Caenorhabditis elegans: one gene and its partners. The protein of the gene in region 3 purifies or fractionates together with the protein of the main gene of each other region. This does not show direct contact. Each region holds a gene or a part of one and is shown on either strand. Other genes may lie near its edges. The genes, in order: fkb-1, lys-4, ilys-5 and glrx-10.

Region 1 (6,549 bases), on a different chromosome or scaffold from region 3:
GCAAAAACATTGAAAACGAGAAGCTCTGACTATTTAGAAATTTTTTTATACGAATACTTCCTTTTTTCAAATAAAATCCAACCTGACAATCTGAATCAATTAATCGCTCTACAATTTGTGAAAATCCACGTCCAGAAGCTACAATTAACGGTGTGAGTCCGTCTTCTTCGTCAATAAGATTTACATGAGCCGGTAACAAAAATCGTTGTTTTTCTAATTAAATATATATATAACTTACTTTTGCGTTAACAAGTAGATCAACCACATCTAAATGATTTTTATAAACTGCCCACATAAGAGGACTCCATCCCATTAAATCAGGTTGATCAACAGATGCTCCATTATCAATTAATAATCGAACAATGTCAACATGACCACAGTGAGCTGCATTCAGAAGAGCACTCCAACCTTCCTGAAATAATTTTCAGTTGAAAAAAGAATTCAGCTTTTGAATAAGGATTTTTTTTAAACTCAACTCGAAAAAAAATCAAATGGCTCATTAATTTTTTGGAGTATTCAAATATTTTATTTCAGAAATCTTACATTGTCAGTTTCATCAATTGCGTCTGGATCCAATTGTGCTAATTGTTTGGCAACTGCTGTGTTTCCTGATCGAACGGCAACTGTGAGAAGTGATTCTCCATTCTGAAATTTGTTTTTGAAATAATTTATTCGATTTCGAGCACTTACAGCGTTTCTGAGAGCTGATATTTCTGCGGTGAGTGCACATCTGAGTTCTGTGGTGCCATGCTCAACCTGGAATCATTTCAAAGTTAAAAAAAAATGAATAAAATTTATGTTTTCAGTGTTTTTCTTTGAACAAAGATCTTCAAAGGATATTTTCTTTGTTTTATTTCTAGGAAGATGTGATTACTTTTCTTTATTCTTAAATTTCGAAATAAAACAGCATTCTGTCAATTTTGGTTTTTGAAAATTGATTTTTTTGACGATTAAAGTATTTCTAATCGTATTAAATTCAGATTAGCATATTGAGATTCAAAATGTTTCCTTAAAATTTATTAATAATTATAAAATATAACCTGTTCGAAGAGCTCAGCAATTTGTGTACTATTCATAGTCACCGGAAGAGCACTGGCGACGGCAAAAGCACTGCTTGCCGCTTCTTGCCACGGTCTTCTCAGTGTTTGAACCATGGCTCCTCGCTGCTTCTTCTCGTCTTCTTTCCCCTAACGTCCTGGGTCTCCACAACGCGTCACAATATTTCTTGGATTTCTCTATTTTCTCTTGCTTTCAGTGGTCCTTCGTCATATACAAACTTTCCAGACGCTTGTTTAGTATAAATACTAATTTCGATCAGCAGTTTTTCTTCGCAAATCGATGAAGAATTGTTGTGTTTTTCTTTTTATTTGTTTGAAAGCTGAAAAATATTACTGTATGGGGTTGAAAACGAATAATAGACAGCATGTATTGAAAAACCGACGAATTTCTGTAGATAATGGTAAAATTTGATACAAAATTATTGGGAATTACTCTATTTAAGAGCAAAAACTGATTAAAATACATTAAAATTCTACAATAAACAGTTTCAAAGCATTCGTAGAAAAATCGAAAAGAGAAAACAAAAAGTCCCTACAGTAACTTTAAAGGCGCATCTAGAATACTTTGTAATGGTCTCGACGCGACTTTCATTGTTGTATTTGCAAATCTGAAAAAAGAAAATAATATTATTTAATTGGCAGCGCCTTTAATCTGCGGTATTTCTTTGGAAACTTTAATTTTTTACAAATTAAAAAGAAAAATTCCGACAAATATTTGAGAAACTTCGTTTTATGAGTGGTTTTTATTATATAGCTTCGGTAATTATTTTTGCTTGTTTCAAACCGATTTCCGAAAATGGTCGCAATTGCAGTTACCAATAATTTAATATTTTATGATTTATTCTTAATCCTCAAAAATCGAATAGAAATCAATATTCGGAAAACAGAAAAAAAAATGCAGAAAATGACACATCTGTCAGTGGTGGTCGCAGTAGCAGACACCGAAAAATGATGGGATGGGAGCCTGTCAATAGAAACACAAAAAAAACGAAAAGCGTAGGCAAACAGAAAAAGCGTTAGATTATCATAGATCTCAAAAAAATAGAGAATTCAAAAAACCAAGTTCAAAATTCTAGAGAAAATATCGAGTCCTATCAAATTTCCATCACGCTCCGTTGGTTTCAAGAAGACGGATTATGCAAATATTACTCCCGAAACCACGTTGAATTTTCAGTGCGAAATGTCAGTTTTATTATTCATACTTTTATACATCAAAACTGAAGAAGAAAGCAGTGAGAGAAAGGAAATACAAGGCTCACAAATACTCTCACAGGAGGCTCTCAAGGAATACTCAATTTACTCGTGTGTTGAGAGAAGACAACGAAGAGCAAGAATCGACCTCAATTTATAACTATTGTTAGGATGGAGCATGAACAAAAAAAAAGAGAAAAGAAGCATTCGGATCGTTGGTGCAATAATTCATGGATGCCAGTTTTAATTGGGTTTCTACTAATAGAATTCCAATTTTTTGTTTATTGTTCGACATTTTCAAAAATGCATTTCCTTTTTCGATTCGTGCTTTTTATTTACAGAGGAACCACATACTTGAATTCTAATATTTACGAAACTGTTGATTCCAGATTTTCAGATTAAAATAATCATTCTTAAAAACTAAGAAAGCAAGGCATTACTAGGTAAGAAGAGAAAAAGGTGTATGGAAATTGATAAATGTCTCGCACACCCTATCATTTTCGCTGACAGAGTGCAATACAAGGTGATAAAGAGAAGCGAGACGCGGTTGTGATCAATGGCCGCAGACGGTCCAAATATATAGAATGGGCATGTTTATAAAGACAAAAAAAAAAACTGCAAAAAAAAATTATACTCTGAGAACATGAATAAGTTACAAAAGGCACGTTTTCTAAATATCCGTAGTTCGTTTACAATTCTTCTCCGTCTCTGTCAATCTTCATGAGCTCAACGTCGAACTTGAGGACAGAGTTGCCTGGAATCTTTGGTGGGGCTCCACGTTCTCCGTATCCAAGGTGTGGTGGAATTGTGAGAATACGACGCTCTCCGACGCACATGTTAAGAAGTCCTTGATCCCATCCCTTGATCACCTATAATTTCAATTTTAATTATTGATATTGGTTTTTTCTTTAAAAACTAACATTTCCTTGTCCAAGAGTGAAAGTGAATTCTTCATTGCGAGTGCGGCTGGAATCAAATTCAGTTCCATCGAGAAGGGTTCCGGTGTAGTGCATGTGCAATTGATCACCCTTTCTGTAAATTTAACATTTTTATTTTAATTAAAAAGAGTAAGCTTACCTGGATTTCTGAACGCAGTTCTCGGCACGCTTCTTGACTCCAATTTGCAATTTATCGATTTTCTGCTCATCGGCAGCATATGCGATCGCCAATAGGCACAAAAGTCCAACGATAACAGCGGTTTTCATGATCCTACAACAATACAATTGATTTTTAGAAGCACAATACAACGAAAAATTATTGAAAAAATACGTTATGAATAGAAAAATGGACAGAGAAATCAGTGCAAAAGAGCAATCGAAGGTGTGCAAACAAAAGTCAAGCAAACGTGGCGTTGTGACGCAGAGAAAACGAGTAATGGGTCAGCAAAAGTTGTTGGCGCAACTTTTGTCGGATTTTTAACTCATAGTTCATAGTTTTTGAGTTTTCCCGAGTTTTAAACAGATTTTTACCGTTTTCTTTACAAATTTTACAAAATAATTCAGTTTTTCTATTATAAATAATTAATTTCAGACAAAATGAGTGCCAAATCTCTCGCAAAGGCTGCCTCAAAGCCTCGGCATCAATCCACTCCGTTCCCAAAAACGGAACAGATTGGTTTTCAACTGAAACATTCAAAAATCCAGTAAAAACGAGGAAATTTAGTGCACATGGGATAGATGTGATCATCGCGGGTTCTATACGATTTTAGTTTCTTCTGTGAATCTCCTCTCTACCTAATGAGTCCTGACAGAATACCGGCAGTATTCTGGGGTCTCATTAGGTTTTAGTTTCTTCTGTGAATCTCCACTCTAACTAATGAGTCCTGACAGAATACCGGCAGTATTCTGGGGTCTCAGTAGGTTTTAGTTTCTTCTGTGAATCTCCTCTCTACCTAATGAGTCCTGACAGAATACCGGCAGTATTCTGGGGTCTCATTAGGTTTTAGTTTCTTCTGTGAATCTCCACTCTACCTAATGAGTCCTGACAGAATACCGGCAGTATTCTGGGGTCTCATTAGGTTTTAGTTTCATTTCCAACTCTCCACTAAACCTAATGAGTCCTGACAGAATACCGGCAGTATTCTGGGGTCTCAGTAGGTTTTAGTTTCTTCTGCGAATCTCCTCTCTACCTAATGAGTCCTGACAGAATACCGGCAGTATTCTGGGGTCTCATTAGGTTTTAGTTTCTTCTGTGAGTCTCATCTCTACCTAATGAGTCCTGACAGAATACCGGCAGTATTCTGGGGTCTCATTAGGTTTTAGTTTCATCTGTGAATCTCCACTCTAACTAATGAGTCCTGACAGAATACCGGCAGTATTCTGGGGTCTCATTAGGTTTTAGTTTCTTCTGTGAATCTCCTCTCTACCTAATGAGTCCTGACAGAATACCGGCAGTATTCTGGGGTCTCATTAGGTTTTAGTTTCTTCTGTGAGTCTCCTCTCTACCTAATGAGTCCTGGCAGAATACCGGCAGTATTCTGGGGTCTCATTAGGTTTTAGTTTCTTCTGTGAGTCTCCTCTTTACCTAATGAGTCCTGACAGAATACCGGCAGTATTCTGGGGTCTCATTAGGTTTTAGTTTCTTCTGTGAATCTCCTCTCTACCTAATGAGTCCTGACAGAATACCGGCAGTATTCTGGGGTCTCATTAGGTTTTAGTTTCTTCTGTGAATCTCCACTCTAACTAATGAGTCCTGACAGAATACCGGCAGTATTCTGGGGTCTCAGTAGGTTTTAGTTTCTTCTGTGAATCTCCTCTCTACCTAATGAGTCCTGACAGAATACCGGCAGTATTCTGGGGTCTCATTAGGTTTTAGTTTCATTTCCAACTCTCCACTCTACCTAATGAGTCCTGACAGAATACCGGCAGTATTCTGGGGTCTCAGTAGGTTTTAGTTTCTTCTGTGAATCTCCTCTCTACCTGATGAGTCCTGACAGAATATCGGCAGTATTCTGGGGTCTCATTAGGTTTTAGTTTCTTCTGTGAGTCTCCTCTCTACCTAATGAGTCCTGACAGAATACCGGCAGTATTCTGGGGTCTCATTAGGTTTTAGTTTCTTCTGTGAATCTCCACTCTACCTAATGAGTCCTGACAGAATACCGGCAGTATTCTGGGGTCTCATTAGGTTTTAGTTTCATTTCCAACTCTCCACTAAACCTAATGAGTCCTGACAGAATACCGGCAGTATTCTGGGGTCTCAGTAGGTTTTAGTTTCTTCTGTGAATCTCCTCTCTACCTAATGAGTCCTGACAGAATACCGGCAGTATTCTGGGGTCTCATTAGGTTTTAGTTTCATTTCCAACTCTCCACTCTACCTAATGAGTCCTGACAGAATACCGACAGTATTCTGGGGTCTCATTAGGTTTTAGTTTCTTCTGTGAGTCTCATCTCTACCTAATGAGTCCTGACAGAATATCGGCAGTATTCTGGGGTCTCAGTAGGTTTTAGTTTCTTCTGTGAATCTCCACTCTAACTAATGAGTCCTGACAGAATATCGGCAGTATTCTGGGGTCTCAGTAGGTTTTAGTTTCTTCTGTGAATCTCCTCTCTACCTAATGAGTCCTGACAGAATACCGGCAGTATTCTGGGGTCTCATTAGGTTTTAGTTTCATTTCCAACTCTCCACTCTACCTAATGAGTCCTGACAGAATACCGGCAGTATTCTGGGGTCTCAGTAGGTTTTAGTTTCTTCTGTGAATCTCCTCTCTACCTGATGAGTCCTGACAGAATATCGGCAGTATTCTGGGGTCTCATTAGGTTTTAGTTTCTTCTGTGAGTCTCCTCTCTACCTAATGAGTCCTGACAGAATACCGGCAGTATTCTGGGGTCTCAGTAGGTTTTAGTTTCTTCTGTGAATCTCCTCTCTACCTAATGAGTCCTGACAGAATACCGGCAGTATTCTGGGGTCTCATTAGGTTTTAGTTTCTTCTGTGAATCTCCTCTCTACCTAATGAGTCCTGACAGAATACCGGCAGTATTCTGGGGTCTCATTAGGTTTTAGTTTCTTCTGTGAGTCTCCTCTCTACCTAATGAGTCCTGACAGAATACCGGCAGTATTCTGGGGTCTCAGTAGGTTTTAGTTTCTTCTGTGAATCTCCTCTCTACCTAATGAGTCCTGACAGAATACCGGCAGTATTCTGGGGTCTCATTAGGTTTTAGTTTCTTCTGTGAATCTCCACTCTAACTAACGAGTCCTGACAGATTAGCATTTATAGTACACAACAGAAATCAGTCAAAAACAATTACAAAAATGTACTTCATTAATAATACCCATAATTATTTCACACGAAATGTAAAACTAA
Region 2 (7,621 bases), on a different chromosome or scaffold from region 3:
ATCGATATAGAATCACATACACAACCAGGCTTCTGGGAAGATCTCTCTCTCTCTCTCTCTCCTCTCTCTCTCTGGGGAGACTATATAGATTGGTGTCGCTTTCCTTTGAGTAGTTGACCACTGTTGCCTGCAAATCTGCATGTGGGAAGACGTATTATTGAAAAGACAAGAGAGGTTACCAGGAAAACGCGATGAGTTCCTTTTGAGAAATACACAACTTTTCGACGTTAATTTAGAAAATTTTGATACTTCTCAAAAATTATGAAATTTATGGTTTTACTTTTACGAGTTTTCAGAATAAAAAAAAACACTAAAAATGTAGCAGAACGTTCCCATAACTATCGGAAACCATCTAAAAAATATTAGGAAATACTAAGAGAAAAACAACAACTTTTAAAATGTTCCAGCAGCTTTCCATTTTTTTAATGTTCAGGGCAAACTTCAATTGTTAGAGCTTGAAAATTTATTAAAATGGTACAATATTTTGATAAATAAATGGTTCAGTTGTTTTATACATGAAATTGTCACAATGAATCACAATAAAGCTGTGAATGTTTTTATTTACTTCAAATGATTTTATAGAACTTAAATTTAAATGATATCAACATTATCAAGATTAACAGAACCAGTTATTGGGAATGTTTCCGTATTATTTGGACGATTTGCAAACGGAGTATCAGAAACATTTCCCAATAGGTTATTAATTGTTTCCCAAGCTTCCGATTTGCTAATCTCTGCCAACTCATTCTCAACTAAATTCGAGAATATCAACTGCCAAAATGTCATTCGAAAATTCCAAAAGTCTCCTTTATAATGTGAGGAAAGAGACGCTGATATATGCTTCTTTTCACATTTTTCACCGCGATAGGCTTTCGAACATTCACAAATTGGTTTTGGATTTGAATCAATGCAAACTCCACCATTCTCACAGTTACACAACTTTGGAACAATGACTGCAATTTATAAAACTCACGTAGAGATTAGTTTTAAAAATATGCAACTCACGTTTTTCACACTTTGACCCAGTTAATCCATTCAAACAACTTGGTTTTCCTTGAAAATTGCAGTGTTTTCCCGAGTTGGTTGCTTTGTTCTCATCACAAAAAGTTTCACATTTCTCACCAAACCAATTTCTAAAACAATGATACAGATTCAAAAAAAAATTTAAAAATGGTATATTTTCTCTTTTAGACTTTCAGACTTTCAGCCGTAATAATCATGAACTGAAATGTTGTAGGACCTAAAATGACATTTTGACAAACTTTTCTTCAAAAGCTAGATTTTACAATGAAATTTATGATAGAACCGTAGTCAAGTATGTCAAGTATAAACAAAGAATTTGAGCAACATTCCAATTTTTCCGTTAGCTCTATAACCAGAATTCACTGTCATCAATAGAAATTGCACGGAATACAAAATTCCAAATAAAAAATTTCCAGACGAAATCCTAGATTTCTAGAACATGCTCACAAGATATATTTACTTTTTTTTCTACAGTACCGTGTGATTTCTAAGTTGTCTTGTGACAAACATTTAATCCAATTTCAAGACAAACGAGCTTACTTATTACAACCAATAACGATTCGAATTCCATTTAAAGGTCTGGCTACAGCAGCCGGTGATAACAGCCCAACACGTGGGTGAACAGTTGAGACAATTGTTGTGTCAGTTAGACCCAAATACTTTGGAGTTGAATTTTTAAAATATGAATTAAACTTGCCATCTTCCTCTGATTTTCCACATTTTATGGTTATATTGTAGATATTATCAAAGTTCACAGGAATCCTTGTAACGTTAAATGGTACATTAGATTTAAGTTTTAAATGCACTATTTTTGATTTCTCTGTTCGAAAATTTGATGAGATGTTCACAATTGCGGTTTGTATATGAGGACTTTGAATATGTAATTCTAGATATCCAGAACAAATTATCTGTAAAAATAAAATCTTAAAATTACAGTGGTTCAAAAAATCTCACCGATTCAATAATAAAAGTTATAAATAAGAAAGAAATCGCAAGAAGTTGCATGTTGAAATGTTGATAATGAGATGGAGAAACAAAAAAACAAGACTAAATATTTGTACTCGTCAACTTTAATTTTGATTCGATTGAGGTCAATTGTGTAATTCAAGGTTACCCCAAGTGACGTCATCACTACGCATTTTGACTTGACAACGTGTCTAGAAGATCAACAACATAATAGTTTTGAAAGAAAAGAGAACAAAAATTTAAGTTTTACCGTATCTGCTTTTTGAAATGTAAAGCCATTTTGATGTTACTATTTTGGCCGAAACTCACTTGAAACTCACAGGTCTAGATTTAAAAAAATAGAAAACAATTCTGAATGAGAATATAATTAAAGTCTCCGAACAATAATGATAAATTTTTTAAATAAGTAACAAAAAATTATTGAAAATAAAACATAATTTTCGAATGTTCTAAAACTGACCCATTTGTTGTCAGTTTTACAGTTTTAAATTGTTTCAAAAAATCAAGAAATCAATTGCGCGTCTGAAACTAGCGAAAATGTATGGGTTTACATATAAAAATTTGTTTATTCATGTTTATACATTTTGGTCAGCTATTTATGGAACATAGTTCATATCAACAGAGACTCCACATGGGCCAGTAGTGGTTCCTTCCCATTGATGAATTGTTGGTCTGCTCCATCCTCCGAAAGGTGCGAACTTTGAGAAATCCTTAATTCCATCATAGGTTGCCCACCAGAGCATCAAACTAGATTGTCCATGATAATCCAATCCAACAATATCTTGCCAATTGTAATAGTTACTGTAGATTCCAACTTGTTGCTTGTAAGCTTGAGCTTCTCTGACCATTGCCTCGATGAATGCACGGTTACTGGCGTGATTAGCTGGCCAAGCGAGACGTTCAATGTCAAGCCAGAGAGTAGAGACATGAGTTCCTGCACTCTTCAAAGCATCAAGAGTTTCCTTAACTTGATTGGCAGCAGATGGGCAGTTAGATCTCAAGCATGGGAAGATGTATCCATCGACATCGGTGAGGCCAGCTGCAAAATTTGTAATTAGCTTGGTACTGAATGAAACTTGTAGAAAACTTCAGATGTTTTAATAAATTGGAATATTATCAGTTTGAATGTTCGAACCCGTACAATGCTTATAATTGACTTGGAATACTATAAAGCTCATCCTTATGATCTGATTATTCCAACTTAAAGTGATCATAAGGGCCCCCTTACGGTCTCAATATTCAGCTCAAAAGGATCATATGATTAGTTATGGTTGAAAAAATTTTCACCTAAAACTTTTCTTTTGGAAGTTTTTCCAAAATGTTTAATTTTTTAGAAAAGCATAATTGTGGTAGTCCCTACAAGTTTGAACATTCATATTACATTTTCAGTCGAACCATCACCTAAATTGGAATTTTCTGCTATTCTGGACAATAATACTTAGAAAGAAACTGTAATTTTTTTTTTCATTTTTTAGTTTCAAGAGGTAATATATTGTTTCACTCACTAGATGCATTGTATGTATACTTGTAAAACATATTAAAGAGCAAGATTAGTTTAAATTTTGAATTCTATATTCAACCTATTGACAAATATATTTGAATATTATTATTTTTCCATACTCTGTTTACAATCATGTGACAATGCATGCCCTGGTAAACTAGACAGTCAGAGGGGACAATGAATGGTTGTAAAACGTAACGAAAAGATATTTCATTGACCACTACATCTTGACTTTTGGGAATATGTGTATTTGAATTATTTGATGGCAGTTTTTAAACAAACAAAAAGAAATAAGAAAAAGAGATAAGATTTTGTTAGTTTAAGTATTTTCTTACAAATTTAATACTCATAACTTATACTAGGAAGTATGCACAGACCTATAAGTTAGAAGTGTGAGGCGAAGAATCGCGAGGGAAAGGAGAACCAAATTGCCAAGAATGGAAATTATTTTGAAAATGGTAAAAACCATTCCTTGATACCCATCTGAAATGCTCACCTGCTCTAGCATTCTTGACGTTTTGAATTCCAGTATGATCAAGAGTTCCAACAGAAGTAAAGACTCTTGGAATTACGAAAGAATATCCAGCCTTATGAATACATTGAAATGTAGCAGTAGACACTGGTTGAATGAAATCAATTCCATTTCTAGCTGCACTTGCAGCACCGATCAAAAGCAAAGCCGAGACGAAGAACTTCATGATTCTCTGAACTCCCCTGATTAAGCCTTCACACACTTCTTTTATACTTCCCAAATACCGGAGATTCTAATTTTATGACTTTGACGCAAGCGGAAAGATAAAATCAAAAACTTCATAAACCCTCTTCTCTTATCTTTTTTGTTTTATTCAGAGGCTGATGTAAAATATGAAACAAAATATGGAGAGCAACTACACTTTCGTCTCATTTTCGAAAATATTTCTCGGGGTTTCTCGACCGTTATCTCTCGTCGTTTTTCAATATTTGCAACAATGAGATCAAAAGAACTAAAATTGAAACCTTCGACCCTCCCGAGTACTGTATTATTTCTACAAGCTAATGGTCCCGGCAGCAGGCTTGTGCGTGGTTTGTTGGCGTTGCCTAAATTAACACTAAAGAAATTATCAATTTTTCAATCCAAACATTGTGAAATTCATTGTTTATCTGTAAATTTTTTGAAGTTTATACAGTTTATTGAAAATAACTTAATTAATCTGTTTGGAAGCGTGAAAAGCTGAGAAAACATAAGGTGCTTAAAGTTAGATGCTTGAAAACGTGATTATGTTCTTGATTTGTTCCCTGCTTCAGATCACAGGTCGGCTGTGACCTAGAAAGCTTTTGAGCTCATGACTTATTCTCTTTGACGGTACATCTTCCTAAAAAATACCGGGAATTGTATTAAAAGTCATTAGCCGATTTTCAGATGATTTCAAATATACCGAGTTTTCTGAAAACCCAACTCCCCAATGTGTTTTATTTTTCGATTAGCAATTTGAACTTCGCACATTAGACTACATTATCAACCTTTTTGCTTCGTCTATCATTATTTGATTGCACGTGATTTCTGCTACCGACGATGGCATCAAAATGTGATCAATTGACGAAATACTCCACAAAAATTGATAATAACGTACATGCCTCATTTGCGTACTGTATCATTCCTTAAGGAATTCCTCAATAATTATTGCAGAAATTATTATAAAAGTTGGAATAGACTTTCTAGTAGTTTCAAAATAAAAATTAGTCATCGAAAACTGAATTTCCTTATTAAATTTCAAGTAATTTTCGATGCTTTTCAGATTACTTTGAATTGCTCGGAGCAATTCTCAAACGTTATTAAAGGAATGAATAAATCATAATAATGAACGAATGTTGTTTACTGAAATATACACTTTATTATTAAAGCGCTAAAAAATTATTTATGGAATGTAGTTCATATCAACAGAGACTCCACACGGACCAGTAGTGGTGTCAGACCACTGATGAATTGTTGGCTTCGACCATCCTCCGAATGGAGCGTACTTTGAGAAATCCTTGACTCCATCGTATGCAGGCCACCAAAGCATCAAACTAGATTGTCCATGATAATCCAATCCAACAATATCTTGCCAATTGTAATAGTTACTGTAGATTCCAACTTGTTGTCCATAAGCCTTTGCTTCACTGACCATTGCTTCAATGAATGCACGGTTGCTAGCATGATCAGCTGGCCAATTGAGACGTTCAATATCAAGCCATAGAGTGGAGATCTTAGTTCCAGCAGCCTTAACTGCATCAAGAGACGCCTTAACTTGGTTAGCAGCAGATGCGCAAGTCGATTTTAGGCAAGGGAAGATGTATCCATCGACATCAGTGAGGCCAGCTGCAACAGTGTTTTAAAAATCAAACAACTTCTAGCTACACTGGGAGTCTACAGTAACCATTAAGCCTCTTTGAAAATTTAAACAGTATACCCGGAAGTTATCTTCATACTTTTGATTTCACTAATTTTGAAACTTTCGAATTCTCACGTTACCATTTGAAGCCTCATTTGAACTCACTGACCGTAATCTAATAGGAGTTTCGACTCTTGGCGTTAACAATAGTTTTGCATAATAGTTTTGCATTTTTGACAGATAATGTTTCTATTATAATTAAAATGAAGTTACCTTTCTATAGACATAATTTAAATATTTTTAGCTCGAAAATTTTAATATGTAATATTTCCTCTATTAGTCTTGCATCCCATTGTTCAACTTTGACAATTAATATCTCAGTTGTCGTTTGTCCTATTCAAATGGTGGTTCTCGCCACGAAGCTACTGTAAAAAATTTCCACAAAAAGCTGCCACATCCTAAATTCCAAGAAAGCGAAGATTCAGAATATAATATTTTGCGCATTTTCCTACAGTAACCTTAATAGTTAAGGTAAGTCTCTAATGTATTCATAAATAAATATAGGGCATTCAATGAATATGATTCACAGCATACATATTAATTCATTAAAAAACCTACCAGCTCTGGCATTCTTGACATTTTGCACTCCAACAGTATCTACACTTCCCGATGAATGATAAATTCTGGGAATTATGAATGAAAATCCAGCATTCTTAATACAAGTAAAAGTAGAAGTGGATACTGGTGAATTGATATCAATTCCATTTCTAGCTGCACTTACAACACTGCAGAAAAGAAGGATTGTAATGAAAAAATGCTTCATGTTTCTCCAGACATTTCAGACTCCATACACTTCTTTTATACTTCCCAGATACCGGAGACTTTTATGACTTTGACGCAAGCGGAAAGATAAAATCAGGAATTTCAAGAGAGCTCAATATTTTGTTTCTTTTTTTTTTCATTTCAATTCGTTAATAAATATTGTTAAAATGATAAAATAACAAATATTGAGAATAGATCTACGACTGAATTCTTAATCAAGATGTTCAATCCAACATGAATTTGATCTAAATTATCTTTAGACTAAATTATCATATGTTTCCTTCTCTCTCTATCATTATTTGGTTTTGTTTGATTGCACGTGGTTTTGCAACTGATGTTGGCTTCCAAACCATTTTCTAGTTTCCACTTACTGTACTTATATTCTTTGTCTTCTAATTGGGTCTAGCACAAATTCAGACAGGTCCACTATAGCCAAGGAGTACATGGAAATTGGAAAACGTTGAACATTTTCGCGGAATCGGGCTCTCGCCCTGAGAACGCTTTCGTGAATCGGGATTTAAAATTATAAAAAACCCAAAAATATATAGCCAAAGTTTCCAGAGTAGAAAATCTGTACGCAGGACTGTAGGTAGGTTGAACCAGTATTCACCTCATGTACCCTTTTTCGGTTGACTCTATAAATCATCTTTATTTATTCCGAGTGTGACGTTGTATACTCGGCAGTTTGGTATTTGTCTTATGCATCCTCAAAACACTGAATGGTTGTAAAAATAATAGAGAGCAATCTGCGTTGCCTCCCTTTCGGGATTCTCTTTGTCTCTATCGGCTGTTTACAACATGTGACAATGTGGACGTACTCGGTGGTTGTAAAACCTGACAGAGAGATTTCTTTGTACATACTACATTCTGACTTTCGGAGGGTCGTCCAATATTCTATTTGTTTTTTTTTTTTGAGATTTGAGATTTTGAGCCAACACAAAATTGACGAATACTTTTT
Region 3 (9,558 bases):
ACTTAAAACGGAACAACACTCGTTGTTATAAATTACTATGTCGCTAAAACAGAAATTTCCACTAATTACAGATGTTGTTGAGCTAGTATTCAGTTCAAATTGTTTTTATGAATTACTAATTATTGTTGTTATAATTCAGTTTAAAATAAAGGGAAAAATAAAAACGTTTGAACAATCAAAAAATAAATCAAGTGATTGCTCGAGAGAAATACACGCGAGAACTCGTTTTTTTTAGAATTTCAGAAGCTGAGAATTTTTGTTTGCAAAATTATTCTATCGTTTCGCGTATACAAGTCGTCTTATTACTATTTTTGTTTTTGGTTTTTTCGTACAGATTTGTACGTCTGTAAAAAATCAATTTTACACAAAAGCCCCCCCTAACGCGGCTCAAATTCTAAATCTAGGTAAAAAAATGTACACATAATTAAAAAAAATCCATATCGAATTCCATAAGACGTTCTTATCAAGAGTAGGGAACTTTTTTATAACTTACAACAATTTCAAGTAAACAAATTTTTAATTTCTTTTCGTAATTTTTGTTGGTCACATGCTACAGGACCACGCTCAGTGGTGCCCTGAAATGATGCAATTTTTTCACGTGCCAATAAAAATCTTGCTCAGAGTCAGAGCAAGAAAAACCAGCGGCAAAGAGATGATATCAATTGAGAACAAAATAGAGAAAAGTAAGAAAAATTAAGTGTTTTTTTTTTCAGTTAATATGTGTTCTGAAGTTTTTCCTTGTTTCACAGTCACTTGTTAGCTGTCTGGATATTCTCACGAGGTGTCGTTTGTTTTGTCTGACCACCTGTTTGGATACGATAGATAATCAAAAAGCATCACTTTATAACTTTTAAAAATCTTTGGTTTTTTTACTTTATTCAGACAAGTTTTGAACTTATCAAGTTAATTAAGTTAATTTTCGGTACTTTTCCGATTTCTGCCCCCCCAAAATGTTTCGATATTTTCATTAATGAAACGTGAACTTTTTTGTAATTTCAGGCTTAGTATTGTTTTTTCTAAGCCTAAAAATTTGAAATAGTATTAAAATAAACATTCACGTGTGAATTTAAATTGAAATATTGAGTAAAACATATTTTGGGGGGCAAAAATCGGAAAAGTACCTAATTTTCTTCCAAATTTTGAAGTGAAAACATTTTTTTTAACATATGTTGAATACTCAATCTAAAAAATAGGTTATTAACAACAGATAAAAAAGTTAACTTCCTTAAACTTTTCATCCTCGGGAGACTAAATATTTTATCACGAATGATCAGTTTTCTTCTTTCTGCTCTGTTTTGAAAAGTTTGCTGGTAATCTGAAAATGATATTTTTCCCAACTTCTGTCTTGAGCTCAACTTGAGAACGAAAAAGACCAACTTTGTTTTTAAGCCTGAAATAGAAATGTGGAAACACCGAGATAAAGTTGCTACCTACACCCGTTATGATCCTCACAGAAATCTTGTGATCTTTAATTTTCCGGTTGCGTAGGTTTTAAAATCAAGTTTTCAAAACATCTCAGGTCTGCGAACAACAGTTCCTATCACTTCATAATGTACTTTGTTGACAATTCGAGATTATCATTTAATATCATTCGAGCTGTTCGTTCCGCAACCTTTTCGTGCAAATCCATCTCACGATTATTTTAATCCGAAAGTATCGTAAACATCATGCATCATCGAGCAGACAAATTGAAAGCCTTGTTTATTCTCACCAGAGGCAAAAAGAATATAAAACTAGATCATAAAACGGGTCAACTTATTTTAAGATACAACCTATGACATAGATGGTGGTCTACTTAGACCTTTACAAATTTAGAAAACGATATGCTTGTTCTCATAAATTGTTCACTCTGACATCATTTTAAACCCACTGACCTCTTCGCCTACTCAATTATTTTTCAAAACGTTCGCATTTTTTCGCAACCTATGTTTTGAAAAGCTTATAAACAAGTTTGATATCCTTTCTACTTTGATTTTAAATAAGCTTTATTGATTCATATATATTCTTATTTTGATAAAATTGAAAATTAAGAGCATCCACAGCAGCTTTTAACTCCGTTCCAGTAAGCCAAGGTGTTGGCGTTGTGGCATCCACGTGGTCCTCCGTTGTGGTTACGGGACATGATCTGAAATTGAATGGATTGCCATTTGCTTGATTGAAATCTAAGGTCTTTTGTCCTAACTTGAACAAAACAACATACTTCTGAAAATGCTACGTAGTTTTCTGATTGTTAGTCCCACTATTATCAATTGTCAAATACACATGTCCACTCAATGAAATGATGTTAAAAAACTGCTCAAGTGTGACCAAAATGATTAAAAGATAAAGAATCGAGAAAAAATTGTAGTGTTTCTGTCGTCAGAATTTTCCAAAAATTGTCAGGAAGTATATGTACATTTTTTGGTGGAATACTACTTGGATGCTCTAGACATTTCTACGTCAGACCTGTTCAGGTCTGCAATAATTTCTCTATTCCAGAGGGTCGTTTCACCTACCTAGTGACTATGGCATATTAATGTTTTCCCCTGCTACCCAAAATAGAAATGTTCGACATTTAATTTTCAACCTCTTATAGTTAGTTGCGTAGTAGCATTCTTGCTCTAAATAAAAAACTCTGACCCCTTTTTCGCGGAAATTTTTGTATCTTTCCTAAAACTTCGCATCACTTTATGAAATATTTTGTTTCCTTCTGATCAATTCAAAAATCAAAATCGGGGGGCAACCTCCTCCAAACTACCAGACACTCGAAAACTTTAAATTGTATTTCATCTACACAATTTGAAAGTGCCCAGAGCAAAACAACAACTGCGTAGGCGACTCACCTGGCAAGCTCCCATTCCAAGTCCATTGCACTGAGACTTGTAGCGGTTGTAGTAGTTCTGAAATTATTTCAAAATGCTTGTATAACATGTAGATTTTAAAATTTTAGATTTCCTCTTTTGTATATGTGATTTTTGACGTATTCAATAAATTTTGTGAAGAGTGCAAACATTCATTCCGTATTAGAGTTCTTTAACCTCTTTTCAAGCCGTCATAATCTTTCTTTGCTACTTTTTATGGCGTGGTAAGCACGTTGTTAGCGGGGTGTTGATAACAATAAGTACTTATTGTCTTTGATGTCGTTAACGTCGCCACCGCTATAGCCATACATAGAAGCTAACAATGACGTTTTTTGCTGGGCTCGTTTGCTATGTGTGCATTTTTGTTTACAGGTTAATTCTGTGATTTTTGACATTATCTCGCAACTTATTTTGAGCTAGTTCCTTTTTTTCTAGTTCCGCCGTTGAAATTGCAGAAAAGTTACTCATCGCAGTATTGTCTACATGACGTTTAAATTAATTTGCCTCAATTAGCGGCAGATAGTAGAAATTTGAGTTCTCAGGTGGGCGATCCACGTAATTCGTACACTAAATTTAGTCGCGAAGTTTTTAATTTTGAGAATGATATGACGAGATTCCCAAAGGATAGAATTGCTTCCATGACTGAAATAAGCCGCAGTCTATCCGGAATTTTGCGATTTAAGGATGAAAAGTTGCACCCACTCAACACCCGTTTTCCCAAAATAAGAATTTTGATGATTTTTTTTGCATGTATCCTGTTGCTAAATCTGCACGTACCTCGACGCAAGTGGTAGCGCAGTTAAGATCATCAGCACATCTCTTCCAGGCAGCTTCAGTAGTCTCTCCAGCCTTCTTTGTTGGTTGTCCGCAGTCTTCATAGTATCCAATCTTGATCTAAAAGAAACATATTATATTTTTATTCTTTACTTTTTATAGTTGGGTCTTGGTACATTTAAAATTAAAAAAAACTGGAATACATAGAGTAGAGTTCAATTTTTGTATATCCTTGTTGTTGTTCCATACAATTTCCTTGTCTACATGGTTTTGAAAGTTTTCATTTCTAGTATGCCTTTTATCTTCTTAGCTTCAATGCAAAAGTTCCCCTATACAAAAATCAATCCCGTTTTAACATTTTCAAAGCATTTCCTGTCCATTTCCTCGGGAAAGTACGCATTTGCTCTTTTGTGGTTTTTTTGTTTTAGCAATTTAAAACATCGTTTCTTGTTATACATTTTTATCGAAAAAACTCAAAATTAAAATTCAACGCGATTTATTTTACCATACTGATTAGGAACTTCCGATTCGCTTGAGAAGAGATATGTGAAAAATATGGGGGCTGTGGTCCGATGAACCGTTTCAATTATGCTAGATTTTCATTAAAGAAATATCTGTTCAATGAGGCATAACAAACATTTCGTGCCGATTTCAAAAACCATCAATTAATGAAGACATGAAAGATGAGCTTTTGAATTTCACGTATTTTTCTGAAGTGTTATTGTTTCCTTATTTAAATGGCAAAACAATAAACAGGCAACCGAACATCTTGTATGGTTTCATGACAAAATTGAAAACGTGTTCTGATATTCTGCTATTTCCATTTCTAGATTCACATATTCCCTAGTTGATCTTGATTTACCTGATAGTATCCGCAGGAGAGGGATCCAACGTCCATGTGGCAACCGATTGGTTTGCATCCTGACTCTCTCATGCAGATGCAGTGGAGGCAGTCGGCGGAAACGTACGCAATAGCTGAAATACCGTAATCACGAAATAGTTCTATTCGCTGTCTCTGCCTTTTTTTAAAGTTTCAATTTATTTTTATTTTTCTCCTATTTCTTCGATCTATAATTGTTGTTACTTTTCCCTATTGTTTTTTACAAATGTGAAACACATATTTAGCTTTCAAAACGTGCTATTAGCTGTAAACCTATAATCAGATGTCCCGTGAGCCGAGAAATGATTTGAGCTAATATTAAGCGAACTTTCATCCGATAAAATTTTATAAACAAGCAAACAACAACAAGAGTTAACACTAAATATGGGAGTAGTTGAGTCTAGATTAATCTTTGGTTAGCCGATATTAAACTTTAAATGACGTTTCATTCTTTGTTTTTAAAAGAAGATATTACCAGCCTTATGGAAATTAAAAATTTCTCTAGTTTTGTTTTAATTGATTGAACGCATCAGTGTTCAGACTTATCGAAACATTTTCAACTGATAACTAAAAAAAAAAGAAAATGTAAACATTGAAATTAAATTAGCACCTTAAAAATCCAATTTCATGTTGGTTTTGATCTAATTCTTTTGAGCTGGTGATTTACTAGATCTTATACAATTTTGCTGTTCACTGAAACCAGTTTTAATTTTGTTATCACACTCACCGACAGAAAGGAGCAGAAGCGATTTGACAAACATATCGGCTGATGGACAAGCTGTCTGAGTTTGCTAACTTTTGGACTCTCTTTTATATCAACTTACACGTGCCTTTGATCACAATTCCTTATCTCAAAACCCGGTAATTCCTACGTAAGCACCTGTACCGAAGACTGTCAGAGGCGGAGTTACAGCTCTGTGATCGCAGAGCGAAAGAGCAATTGATGCCACTTTCAATGCCAATCAAAGTGTGGCATGGATAGTTCTAGAAAAACGTATATCCTTCCCCAGAAAACCAACACAATGCAACAAATCAGAAATCTTGTGATTATTGAAATGGACTGCAATTTTCCGTGAAAGGATACACCTCTGTTGCTAATCTTATAATCCAATCTTCGGGTCAAAAAGAACGCGGCTTCCTAATATACTTTTGATTGGTGGGGGTGGACGAGGAAATACTCTGAAATAGGATCAAGATTATATTTATTTGTGTCTTTGACCATTTTTTTTGTTATTCAAATTTCAATGAGGTAATATTTAGATTTTCGTATTTATGTGATGATGTTTTTTTCTTATAAAGTTCCATTAAAAATAATATTGAGCTAATTTTTGAACCGACGTTTTTCAGTTCCCCAGATACATCTCGAACCAGCATTCTTTTCACAAAACAAGCGTGTTTTTCTCTTTTAACACAAAGATTATTTGTAAAAACCCTAACTACGATCAGGTAGTAGGTAAATTTTTCTAATGAGTAAGCTTTAGTTTCCGGCTCAACAACTTTGTGCAAGGGTTAAGTCATGTGAAACTGAAAAAAAACTCATTCAAGCTTGATTATTTTCACTAAAATGTTAAAAGGACAATTCAAGTACAAGTAGAATAATCTAAACAAAAACCAAAACAGTAAACAATCAAACATCGAACAATTCAATTTTTATTCATTTTATAATAATGTTTTTGAATACGGACGGTTTTTGTAAATTCAATTGACCGTGAATTCCGTAACGACGGGAGCTTTAGGAAATTTCATTCAATACAAGTATATCACTCACTAATGAGTGAATAGACAGTAAATCCAAGCAGTTACGACGTTCACGCGGATTTACCTTAGTTTACACACTGAATCCTCGTTCCGCATTGCTCTCTTCAGTAGTGCAGTCTGTTTTGTCATAATTCATTCATTATGTGTGACGACGTCATTTGAGAGCCTGAATTGGAATAATCGTGACTAAAAACGCAACAAAACCACTTGGTTGTCGCATCAATTATCCAGTCTAGAACTTTGCCACAAGTTTTTACTTTTCGATCTTCATTGTTACATTTTAGACGCTTTTATGGAGAATTGTTTTCTTTTGTCATGCTCTTCCAGCAAACCAAACTAGGTGCGTATTTCCTTGTCTACAGTTTGTGCTATCAAATAATGAAACACAAACCGTTTTTGTTATAATATGATCTGTAAATAGTGCGATCGGCATGGTTTCGCCTCGTTAAGACTTTTCGGAAACGAATGAACATTATCAGTTGATATCAAAAATTGCTCCGATTCCATCGCAATTTGGTTTTGCTTCATAGACATGGGTGTGCTGGGAGATTGGAAGAAGCGGCAGAGAAAATTGAAATTCAAGACCAATTTCCTTCGTGCAAACCATTCTGATAAGTATGTACCAAGTAGTTTCTAAAAACTCTTCTTTAGTTCCGTAAAAATCATAAAATGTGTGGTAACATGTGACTTTATACATAGACTGTTACATTGGTTATAGTAGGAATGTTCTGAATTGGTCGGACGCTTCACACACTTAAATGAAAATTATCTTGTTTGATTATTCAACACAATAACAAAAAGATAACAAGGGAATGATAATATTTTTATCTAATAAAAACAAACTTACTCCCAGAAGCGCATGTTTTTATATAAAGACAGGAAGGAATCGAAAGCTGAAGACTCAGTTGAGAACAAACTCTATTTAGTATTCTAAGTGAAGCTTGGACTAGTAGAAAATGTTTCACATACCGGACCAGGAAATTGTACTTGAACAGCAGATGTTCGAAATTGTGTTCTTAGAACTCGCATTTTAAGTTCGGAAATTGTGAACAGAGATTCCACGTTCTCTGTTAATTATTATTTTCATCGAAAAAAGGCCTTTCTTATAATCAACGAAAGTCTCGAATCTTTGGTGTCATTCGAAAACAAACTATTACCGCCGGCGAGCTTTTGAGCTGCTCTAACTTCCACTGAGCTAGTTCCTCCTTCTTAGCCACGTGTTTGAATTTGAACGTTTCCATCTTTTCAACGTCCCACTTTTCAATTTGTTGTAGTTGTTTTTGAGATCCGTTACAAACAAAGAATTCAAGAACTAAGAATTTTGACCCATGTTGTGATGTGATATGGCCAAATAAAGCGTAATGATGAGTGTGAAAAAACACATGTCGTTTGCTTTTTACGCTTCAATTTAACTTATTGTGCTGATAAAACCCATTGAAACAAAGCACTGGGTAAGAATATAGTTACGACGTAAATCGGATTCGTCCGCGCTGAATGAATTGTCAGAATCAATCACCGTTAATGTCAATACAACGTCATACTTATGTTATAGTGCTTGATTGCTAAATCTACTTTGACAATGAATAAGTACGTAATGTGATGAATAAGTAACTGAAACGTAACTGAAAACATTTTATAGTCAACCTTGCAGAACGTATATACGAATATCTATTTTGAACCCGCGACTATTTTAGCTATTCTTGCATCCGTCTGATTGTTTTTTTGCGATAGTGATAACCAAATTGTCAGTACATGAAGTTCTAAGAACTGAGTCATCAATTGACAACAAGCAAACATCCGATTTGCTTCAGGATGTACTTCAACTATATCCTTCTGCCTTCCAACCAACGCACTCTTTTCAAGTTCTCCTCTCTTCGTTTTTAATTTGTAATTGGATTGGAAAGAGATTATTATCCGATTAGACTTTCAGTCTTGTTAGTTGCAACCTTTTGAAAAATCCAAACTGGTCTCTAATCTATCTTGCGCTGATTTGACTTCCTCTCCAAAGAGAGTTAGTAATAGTTAGGCGTTGAATGAAATAAAATGAAAAGGGAGTAGAACCGCGGGAAGACAAACATGATTTTAAATCTCTAAAGTAATACTTTAACCCTATCATATTATCTTTTTCTTAAATTCAATTCTCGAATTTCCATTATCCCGTGTCGCTTTTTTCATAGTAACAAACGAGTTGTGTACGCCTGGTAGCCGAAAAACACTGGATATAACCTGATAACACTTCTTCCGTACCCAACTTTATATCTCGTCACTTTAATTAGGCATATTTTCCAAATCCCAATTCCCGGAAGGCGCAATTTTTTGGTACCCGTTGCCTTAGGTCTCTCACCCACACACGCTGCAAATGGAGATGTTCCGGTTCGAATTAAAAATCAAATAATTTGAACAGCACGGGACTGCTTTTTACGTCACAATATAGTTTATCATATAAAAAACATGCGGTTTTATTATTCAAATTTCCCCTTGCTTTTGTAAAGTTTCCATTTTCAATTTGCCCCATTCATAATCTAATTCTGACATTTACGTAACAATGACTACATTTTAATACCGAATTCCTAGAGTTCACACCTACTCGGTGACCTACGTAGTACATCGAATTCGGAACCATTCTGGGATTTCTAATCCCTTATGAAAACAAAGGCAACAACTGCCTTCCTTTCAACGGTGACTATGATGTTTAAAAATAAATTAAAAGAAGAAACCCTGAAATGGTGTAACACTTTAACACTTTCCAAGTACTTCGGTGTCATCACAAAAGATGATTACGTTGCACTGCAATCTGGGTAAAAAAAGTAAATGAATATATTCATTTTCCAAGGAGCAAAGTACGTCACAAATCAGTGACCCACTCAATTCATCTTTTTTTGCGATTAAGCTCGTAGTTTTTTGGAAGGAAAAGAGGAGAGCGATTTACGGATTGAAGGTTGAAATGTGCTGCATCTTTAGAGACTGAGCAGGAAAAATTAATGAGATACATCTTTGACATAACTTCCACCCTCTACCACCTACAAGATGGGTAAAAATATATGCATGAGTCTCTGATGCAATCCATGATCTAGTTGAATATTCAACATCTCCAAAAAAGAACAAGATCAAACAATTTCAGAGTCATTTTTTTATCTACACAAACAAACATTGATAGACTAAACAATCAAACAGTGTCCAATAATGCTAAAGTCTTATAATTTTCACTGTAAGATCATTCCGATCAATTATAGTAAAAGGGACCAAAATACCTTACGACTCTTAAGCTCTCATTAGAAGCATCATAAAATTGGATTACTCATAGAC
Region 4 (7,408 bases), on a different chromosome or scaffold from region 3:
GTAGAAGATTTTTTTTTTTTTTTTGAAAATTCCAGTAAATTGAGCCCAAAAATCGATAATTCACTTTTCCACGTGGAGTACACGGCGTTAAAGATCAGTAGAGCGTTCTTTCTGACTTGAAAATTTGATTTTTGATTACAATCGACTTTATTTCTACTTTTTTCAAACGAATTGTGTCGATTTTGACCCATTTTTTATTGATTTTAAAAAAATCCAAAAAATCAAAAATTGACTTGTCCACGTGAAGTACACGTTTTAATTTGCAATGGAGCGCGTTTACTCATGAAGAAGTTTCAAAAACATTCAACACGGGGGTTCTGGCCTTTTTCATTTGACAATCGCCTGGCGGACAACGCGTGGGAAAGTGTCGTGTACTCCACACGGACAAATACATTTAGTTTTACAACTAAAATCGAGCCGCGACGCGACACGCAACGCGCCGTAAATCTACCCCAGATATGGCCGAGCCAAAATGGCCTAGTTCGGCAGAAATTTCCATTTCAATTTATAAGGGAAGCCAGAAATCCATGAAACATTGAATTCAAGTGAAACATCGGTGGAGCGCACTTTCTAACCTCGAAAAATTCCCCAAAAATTTTCAGTACGAACCGCAATCGAATATTGATCGTCTGGCACAAAGACCCGTTCTACCACAATGTCCACGTGAGTTGCGATACAAATGCGCTCCACTGCACACTGTTTTGCAGTGGAGCGCATCGGCTTGATTTTCAATGGCCTAGAAATCTCGGAGAAACTTAAGCCATGTCTTCTATTTTCAGGGGAATGGGAATGGGCGTGTCGAAACGGAGAATGCATAGCACATTATGACGTTTGTGACGGGATTACGCAGTGCACCGACGGGTCCGACGAGTGGAATTGCGAAGCGAGGTTAGGTTGCAAACACGCTCCAATGAGAAATTGCTCCACGTGGTGCCATTATGGTTTGATCTACAAAAAATGCGGGATTTTTTTGGCCAAAAATATGTGACGTCAGCACGTTCTGAACCATGGGAAATCAGTTGAGAACTCTGCCGCATTTTTTGTAGATCAGCGTAGATCAAGCCGCAATGAGACACTCTGACACCACGTGCGGCTTGTAAAAATCAATAAATAGTCATTGCTGTGCGGTACATTTTTTCACGCTTGTTACGAAATAAAATTTATATTTTATATAGCATTTTGACGACATTTTCCTTATCAGTAAAATTATCAAATTTTCCACCCAATTCCTTGGCTCGTTTTTCCTCCAGTTTCCACTTCCTGTTGAAAAAAAAATCCAAAAAAAATCGATAAAATGGCGGATTCGCTTCTCTCGAATATTCTTCAACAGGAGATCACCGATTTTCCGGAGTTATTCGATATGGGGTTTGTGTACACAAATATGTAGAGTCTATTGCGCTCTATAAAAAATCAATAAAATCGATATTCCAGGGGCGGAGCGCCGATGGCTCGTGAGGGAGTTGCTCAACCACGACAGACAAATGTGCAGGCCACCGTAGCGGCGGTGAAGGAGACAACGACGATAACCGCTGAATCTTCAGGTATTATTGATTTTTCTTATTTCGAAGACTATATTACGCGAACGCGTATTGCACAACATATTTGACGCGCAAAATATCTCGTAGCGAAAACTACAGTAATTCTTTGAATGACTACTGTAGGTCGATTTACGGGATCTCGATTGTCGAAATGAATATATTTTCGAATAGCCACAGCGACATTCAATTTAAATTTTTAATTAATTTCAACAAATCAAGCGGCCGTAAATCAACAGAAGCGCTACAGTAGTCATAGTTTTCGCTACGAGATATTTTGCGCGTCAAATATGTTGTGCAATACGCATTCTCAGAATTTTGTGTTCCCTGTAATACTACGCCATACGAGCAAGATTCTGTTGAACTAGGACACACTGCATCTCACGCGCAAACTAATCCCAAACCTCAAAAAAACACTATATTTCACGCGCAATTGTTGCAAACTTTCAAATTGAAAGCCACCATATTACACCATATCTTACGCGCAAATTTAATTAAACTATGTAAAACCACGTGGCGCACCAGAGTGTCTCATTTCGGCTTGATCTACGTAGATCTACAAAAAATGCGGGAGAAGAGACGCAGAGTTCTTAACCGATTTCGCACAAAAATTCCCGCATTTTTTGTAGATCAAACCGTAATAGGACAGCCTGGCACCACGTGTGAAACAACATATCTTTTTTGAAAATTTTGCAGTAAATCTCATGGTATGCGCCAAAAATTAGCCAAACTTCGCAACACACCGAATTTTACGCGCATATTCATCAAAAACCTTTTTTTTTTAATTTTCAGGCACCGTCACAATCCAATACTCGCACATTTTCTTCGCCTTTGTCGCGTTTTTCGTTCTCTCGGTTGCCGTAGTCGCTGTGATTCGTCGGCGATCACGACAAAAATCCGGATTTCGAAATCGACGTGGCGGCGGGCACGGGGGCCCGAGCATACTGCAACAGGATTCCGACGAAGACGATATTCTAATCAGTTCTATGTATTCTTGAATTTCGTTTTTTTTTTGGCACGTGGGGTGCCAGGCTGTCCCATTACGGTTTGATCTACAAAAAATGCGGGAATTTTTTGCCCAGAAAAATGTGAGAACTCTGCGTCTCTTCTCCCGCATTTTTTGTAGATCAGCGTAGATCAAGCCGCAATGAGACACTCTGCTAACACCACGTGTTTTGGCTGTACTACTTTTCTCTCTTTTCTCACTTTTATCTCGGGTTGTGTCATTGAATTATGAAGAAAAAAATAAATCAAATACATAAAAATTAATGGCGATTCAAATTCTATAGAGCTCCGGTTTCCTTGAGCAGTGCGGCGAGTTTTCCGTTCTTGGCTCCGGCCGCTGTGTCGTCACCGCCGCCGAAGAACTTGCCGTTGATGAAGACACGTGGCACCGAGCGGGCTCCGGTTAGAGAGCCAAGATAATCCTGAATCTCATTGCAATCCTTGCGCTCGTCGATTTCGATCCATTGCAGAGCGTCGGGCTTCACGTTGACCGATTCAAGAGCAGCACGAGCCTGAAAAATTGGGGTTTTTTAATTTTTCTCAAAAAATTATTTTAAAAAATGTATCCGAGACTCAAAAATTTTGCAAAAAAAAGATTTTGAAAATGGATAATATTTTTCTCAATTTTCACGGATTTCTGGCTTCCCTCATAAATTGAAATGGAAGAGTTTTTGCCGAACTAGGCCATTTGGCTCGGCCATATCTGGGGTAGATTTACGGCGCGTTGCGTGTCGCGTCGCGGCTCGATTTCAGTTGTAAAACTAAATGTATTTGTCCGTGTGGAGTACACGACACTTTCCCACGCGTTGTCCGGCAGCCGATTGTCAATGGAGCGCGAAAAATTCAATGAGGAATGCCAGAACCCCGTGACAGATTTTTTCGCAAATTATTGATTTTTGCCGTTGTCTTCAATTTTCCGAAAATTTCTCAAAAAAAATCGCTACGAGACCCAAAATTTCTGCATTTTCAGAAAAATACAGAAATGTTTGATTTTTAAGTTAAATTGAATTTGCAAAATTTCATACTGGTGCAACTGCGCTCTGTTGCACACGATTTTTTAAAATAATTTTTTTTGGAATAAATTTTTCAAAAAAATTGGGAAATTTCGCTGAAAATCCAGAAAAAAGCAAATTTTTTAGGACAAAATTGTTCAGAAAAATTTTTTTTTTTTTTTGATGACAAAAAGCAATTTTCGAGGAAAATTCAAATTTTTCAGAAAAATTGTGTTACCTTATGGCAGTACGGGCAGTACGATTTGCTGAATACGACAACTTTGGAAGATTGGAGAAGTCCGTCGACAAAGGCTTTTGACATGGTTTTTCTGAAATTTTTTGGTGTTTTTTCTCAAATTTTTGTTGAAAAAAAAAGGCAATGAAGTATAAGAAAAGCGTAGAGACAATTTGAATTTGAAAAAAATTGGGGAAAAAAAAATTAGAAATCACATTATCATCAAATAAATAATATATATATATATATATTAAATTTACAAAAACAAAATTCTGCGATATTATATAAAAAGGGAAAACATAGGCTTTAAAAGCAGCAAAAACTGAAGAAAATGATGATAAAAATGAGAGTGGAAATAGTGTATGGAAATGAGAGAGTGGCGAGAGAAAAAGAGAAACGGCGGCGACAATGACGTAAGAATCATGACAAATAGTGTTATTAGGCGAGGAAAATTCGGGAAAAAATACAGTTGTGAAATACAGAAATTTATAAAAAAAATTTTAAAGAAATTTCGAAATTACCGCCGTGCGGTGGAGCACAAATGCATTTTTGATATTCGATTAAAAAAAAATTTTTTTTTAATTTTTGGGCTTTCTAAAGCTAAATGATTTTTTTTAACTTTAAGGAGTTTTTAAAAAATTTAAAAAAAGGCCTTGCAAATGCGCTTCATCGCAAATTTGATGGTAGAGATGAAAAATTGGAGAATTTGAAATTTTCACGTGGTGTCAGAATGCCTCATTTCGATTTGATCTACTTTGATCTACAAAAAATGCGCGGGGACTGATTTCGCATGGTTAAGAAAGCGCTGACGTCACAACATTTTTGGGCGAAAAACTCCCGCATTTTTTGTAGATCAAACCGTCGATGGGACAGCCCCTGGCACCACGTGAATTTTGGGAAAAAAAATTTTTAAAAGGTTTTTTTAAACGCTTTTTATTTTAGACAAATCACTTTTTTTTAATTTGAAAATTAGTTTTTTTGCACCAAAAAAATTTCAAAAATCGGAAAATTTTGAATTTTTGGGATCACTTTTACTTAAAAAAAAACTCGTTAATTCGGAAAATTTTACGATTTTTCTGAAAAAACTCTGCAAATGCGCTCCATCGCGAATTTGCTGGTAGAGATGAAAAATTGGAGAATTTGAATTTTTGGCGGTACTTTTTGCCGAGTTTTTGAGAGAATTCATCAACTTTTCACGAAAAATTGATATTTTTAACGCTTTTTCTGATGAAAATTGCAAAAAAAACCTTTAAAAATTGGGCTAATAACACTTTTTTCAATTAGAAAATTAAAATTTTTGGGATAATTTTTTCCTTTAAAAATCCCATTAATTTGGAAAATGTTACGCTTTTTATGAAAAAAAAATTCAAAAAAAAAATTCTGCAAATGCGCTCCACTGCAAATTTGTCAACCATGTGAAATTTTAATTTTTAGGATAATTTTAGGATAAATTTAGGCTAATTTTAAAGTCGAAAATCCAAAAAAAAAAAAAAAATCAATAAATTATTCCTTCTTCTTCATCTCATCATCTCCACTATTTCTTCCAGTGATCCCTTTCAAAGTACTCATAATTTTTTTGAAAATGCCACGTGGCTTCTCCTCCTCTTTCGCCTCGAATGGCACAATGCCGACGGAAAACGCTTCGAGCGATGGTACAGTATCCTCAATCCACGTACCCGTGACGTCACGGCGGGAGAAGATCGGGGTGCCGATGAATTCCGAAATTGATTCTCCCTGTGGAAAAATATTGTTATTTTTTGGAAATATATCAATTTTTGAAATATATCGACTTTTGAATCAGGTGGGTGGGCGGAAAACGATTTTTTCCGGCAAATCGGAAAATTGCCGGAATTGTAAATTTCCCGCAAATCGGCAAACTGGGAATTTGCCGGTATTCAACAAAATTCCGGCAATCGATTTTCTTATCCGTTTTTTTTTTTTGGAAAAATATGTTTTCTGAAAAGAAAAAATCGATAATCTGGAATTACATATATTGAAAAATATTGATTTCACCGGAAAAAAAATTTGGAAAAATTTTGGAAAGAAAAAATCGATTTTTGGACAAAAAACCTTGAAAAAAAAATTGGAAATCGATATTCTGGAGATATATATTTTTGGGAGAGAAATCGATGAAAATTTCAATTTTTTGGAAGAATATTGATTTTTAGAAAAAAAAAATTTTTTTACTGAAAAAAATGATTTTTTTTTTGAAAAATGCCGTTTTTTGAGAATATAGAATTCTTGGATTTTTTTTTTGATTTTTAGAAAAAATACCTTTTTTTCTGGAATAAAATTTAGATTTTATTTTGGAAAAATATAGCATTCTAGAGAAAAATATCAATTTTTTATTGAGAAAATTCAATTTTTTCTGGAAAAAAGTATAGACTTATAGAGAAAAATGTGTATTTTATTTTATTTTCAGGACATTTTTTTTTTTTGGAAAAAAATCGATAATCTATAAAGAATATCGATTTTCTGGAAAATATTTATTTTTGGTTAAAGGATAAAGATTTTTAGAAACGTTTTTTTTTTCAAAAAATAAAAATGAACTTGGAAAAAAGTTCATTTTTATTTTATTTTTAATATTTACTTTTCGAAAAAAACTTAAATAGTTTGGAAAATATTTATTTTTGGTTTAAAAAAAAAGTTTTTTTGAAAAATATCGAATTTTTTCAAAAAAAAATTGGTAAAAGTTGAAAGGATTTTGGAATTTTGGAAAAAAAACAGGTTTTTAAAAAAAATATCGATTTTTTTAAAATTTATATTTTTGGAAACCTTTTTTTTTACAAAAATCGATTGGAAAAAAATTTTTAGACAAAATAATTTAATATTTGCAAAATGAAAAGAATATCGATTTATTTTGAAAAAAGTATTGAATTTAGAAAAATATGGATTTTTTTTTTTGGAAAAATCGATTTTCTGGAAATTTTTTTACTGAAAAAAAAACTGGAAATATATAGATTTTTCGGAAAGTTATCGAATTTTTTTGGAAAAATAGATTTTCTTGAGAAAAAATTTTTTTTTGGAAAAATCAATATTCTGGAAAAAATGGTAAATGGCAAAATGATTGATTTTTGGTAAAAAATCGGTTTTTTTTTCTTTCAAAATTACCATTCTCCCAACGGGCTCCGGGGTCCCAGGCTTCTCCTCGACTGCCGCCGCCGCCGCTGCCACCTCCGATATGGTTTGATCTACAGTAACCTCCTTCTCCACCTTCTCTGCACTATCTCGTTGTTGTTGCTCCTCCTCCTCTTTCTGCTGTTCTCGGATCTTCCGAAGTTCGGATCGCTGGTGACGTTCCTCACGAATTCGGATTTTCTCGGTGCCCTCGTGATCTCTGGCAACTTCCTGGAATGACATTTTTTTTTAAGTGACATTTTTTTGAATTTCAGAAAAAAAAGTGTTTTTTTCAAATTTTTTCCAAAGCAAATGATTTTAGAGAAAAATCTATGAAAATTGGAGTGAAAATTAGACAGAAAATTGCAAAAACCAAAAAAATCAGAAATCTTTTGGATTTTGAACCTTTTTTTTGTGATTTTTAGCTTTAAAAAAAGTAGAAAAATCGGCAAAAATTTGTTTTAAAAAAATATTTTTTCAAGTTTTTATTTGAAAAACGTAAACTGAAAATTATAGCCAAATTA

The links.
Region 1: the proteins of ilys-5 (region 3) and fkb-1 fractionate together in Caenorhabditis elegans (co-fractionation; one large-scale study listed by BioGRID). This does not show direct contact.
Region 2: the proteins of ilys-5 (region 3) and lys-4 fractionate together in Caenorhabditis elegans (co-fractionation; one large-scale study listed by BioGRID). This does not show direct contact.
Region 4: the proteins of ilys-5 (region 3) and glrx-10 fractionate together in Caenorhabditis elegans (co-fractionation; one large-scale study listed by BioGRID). This does not show direct contact.

Annotation. Positions count from the first base shown.
Region 1 is NC_003282.8:11,033,491-11,040,039, reverse strand, and holds fkb-1 (peptidylprolyl isomerase), read right to left. Parts: upstream 3,459-6,549; 5' UTR 3,455-3,458; coding exon 3,327-3,454; intron 3,282-3,326; coding exon 3,170-3,281; intron 3,119-3,169; coding exon 2,939-3,118; 3' UTR 2,866-2,938; downstream 1-2,865. Other genes in the region: kdin-1 (KAP NTPase domain-containing protein), read right to left, coding at 83-190, 239-412, 544-645, 691-756, 1,041-1,154.
Region 2 is NC_003282.8:11,618,911-11,626,531, forward strand, and holds lys-4 (LYSozyme), read right to left. Parts: upstream 4,265-7,621; 5' UTR 4,189-4,264; coding exon 3,987-4,188; intron 3,396-3,986; exon of another isoform or gene 3,375-3,395; intron 3,029-3,374; coding exon 2,586-3,028; 3' UTR 2,519-2,585; downstream 1-2,518. Other genes in the region: dsl-5 (Delta-like protein), read right to left, coding at 592-953, 1,006-1,133, 1,564-1,931, 1,978-2,028; lys-5 (Lysozyme-like protein 5), read right to left, coding at 5,386-5,828, 6,460-6,664.
Region 3 is NC_003284.9:6,531,523-6,541,080, forward strand, and holds ilys-5 (lysozyme), read right to left. Parts: upstream 5,319-9,558; 5' UTR 5,256-5,318; coding exon 5,222-5,255; intron 4,590-5,221; coding exon 4,477-4,589; exon of another isoform or gene 3,735-4,476; coding exon 3,618-3,734; intron 2,880-3,617; coding exon 2,823-2,879; intron 2,126-2,822; coding exon 2,027-2,125; 3' UTR 1,968-2,026; downstream 1-1,967.
Region 4 is NC_003279.8:1,046,049-1,053,456, reverse strand, and holds glrx-10 (Glutaredoxin-1), read right to left. Parts: upstream 3,862-7,408; 5' UTR 3,855-3,861; coding exon 3,771-3,854; intron 3,053-3,770; coding exon 2,819-3,052; 3' UTR 2,730-2,818; downstream 1-2,729. Other genes in the region: Y34D9A.8 (Low-density lipoprotein receptor domain class A), read left to right, coding at 603-663, 780-888, 1,432-1,541, 2,328-2,533; Y34D9A.7 (PSP proline-rich domain-containing protein), read right to left, coding at 5,271-5,501, 6,879-7,115.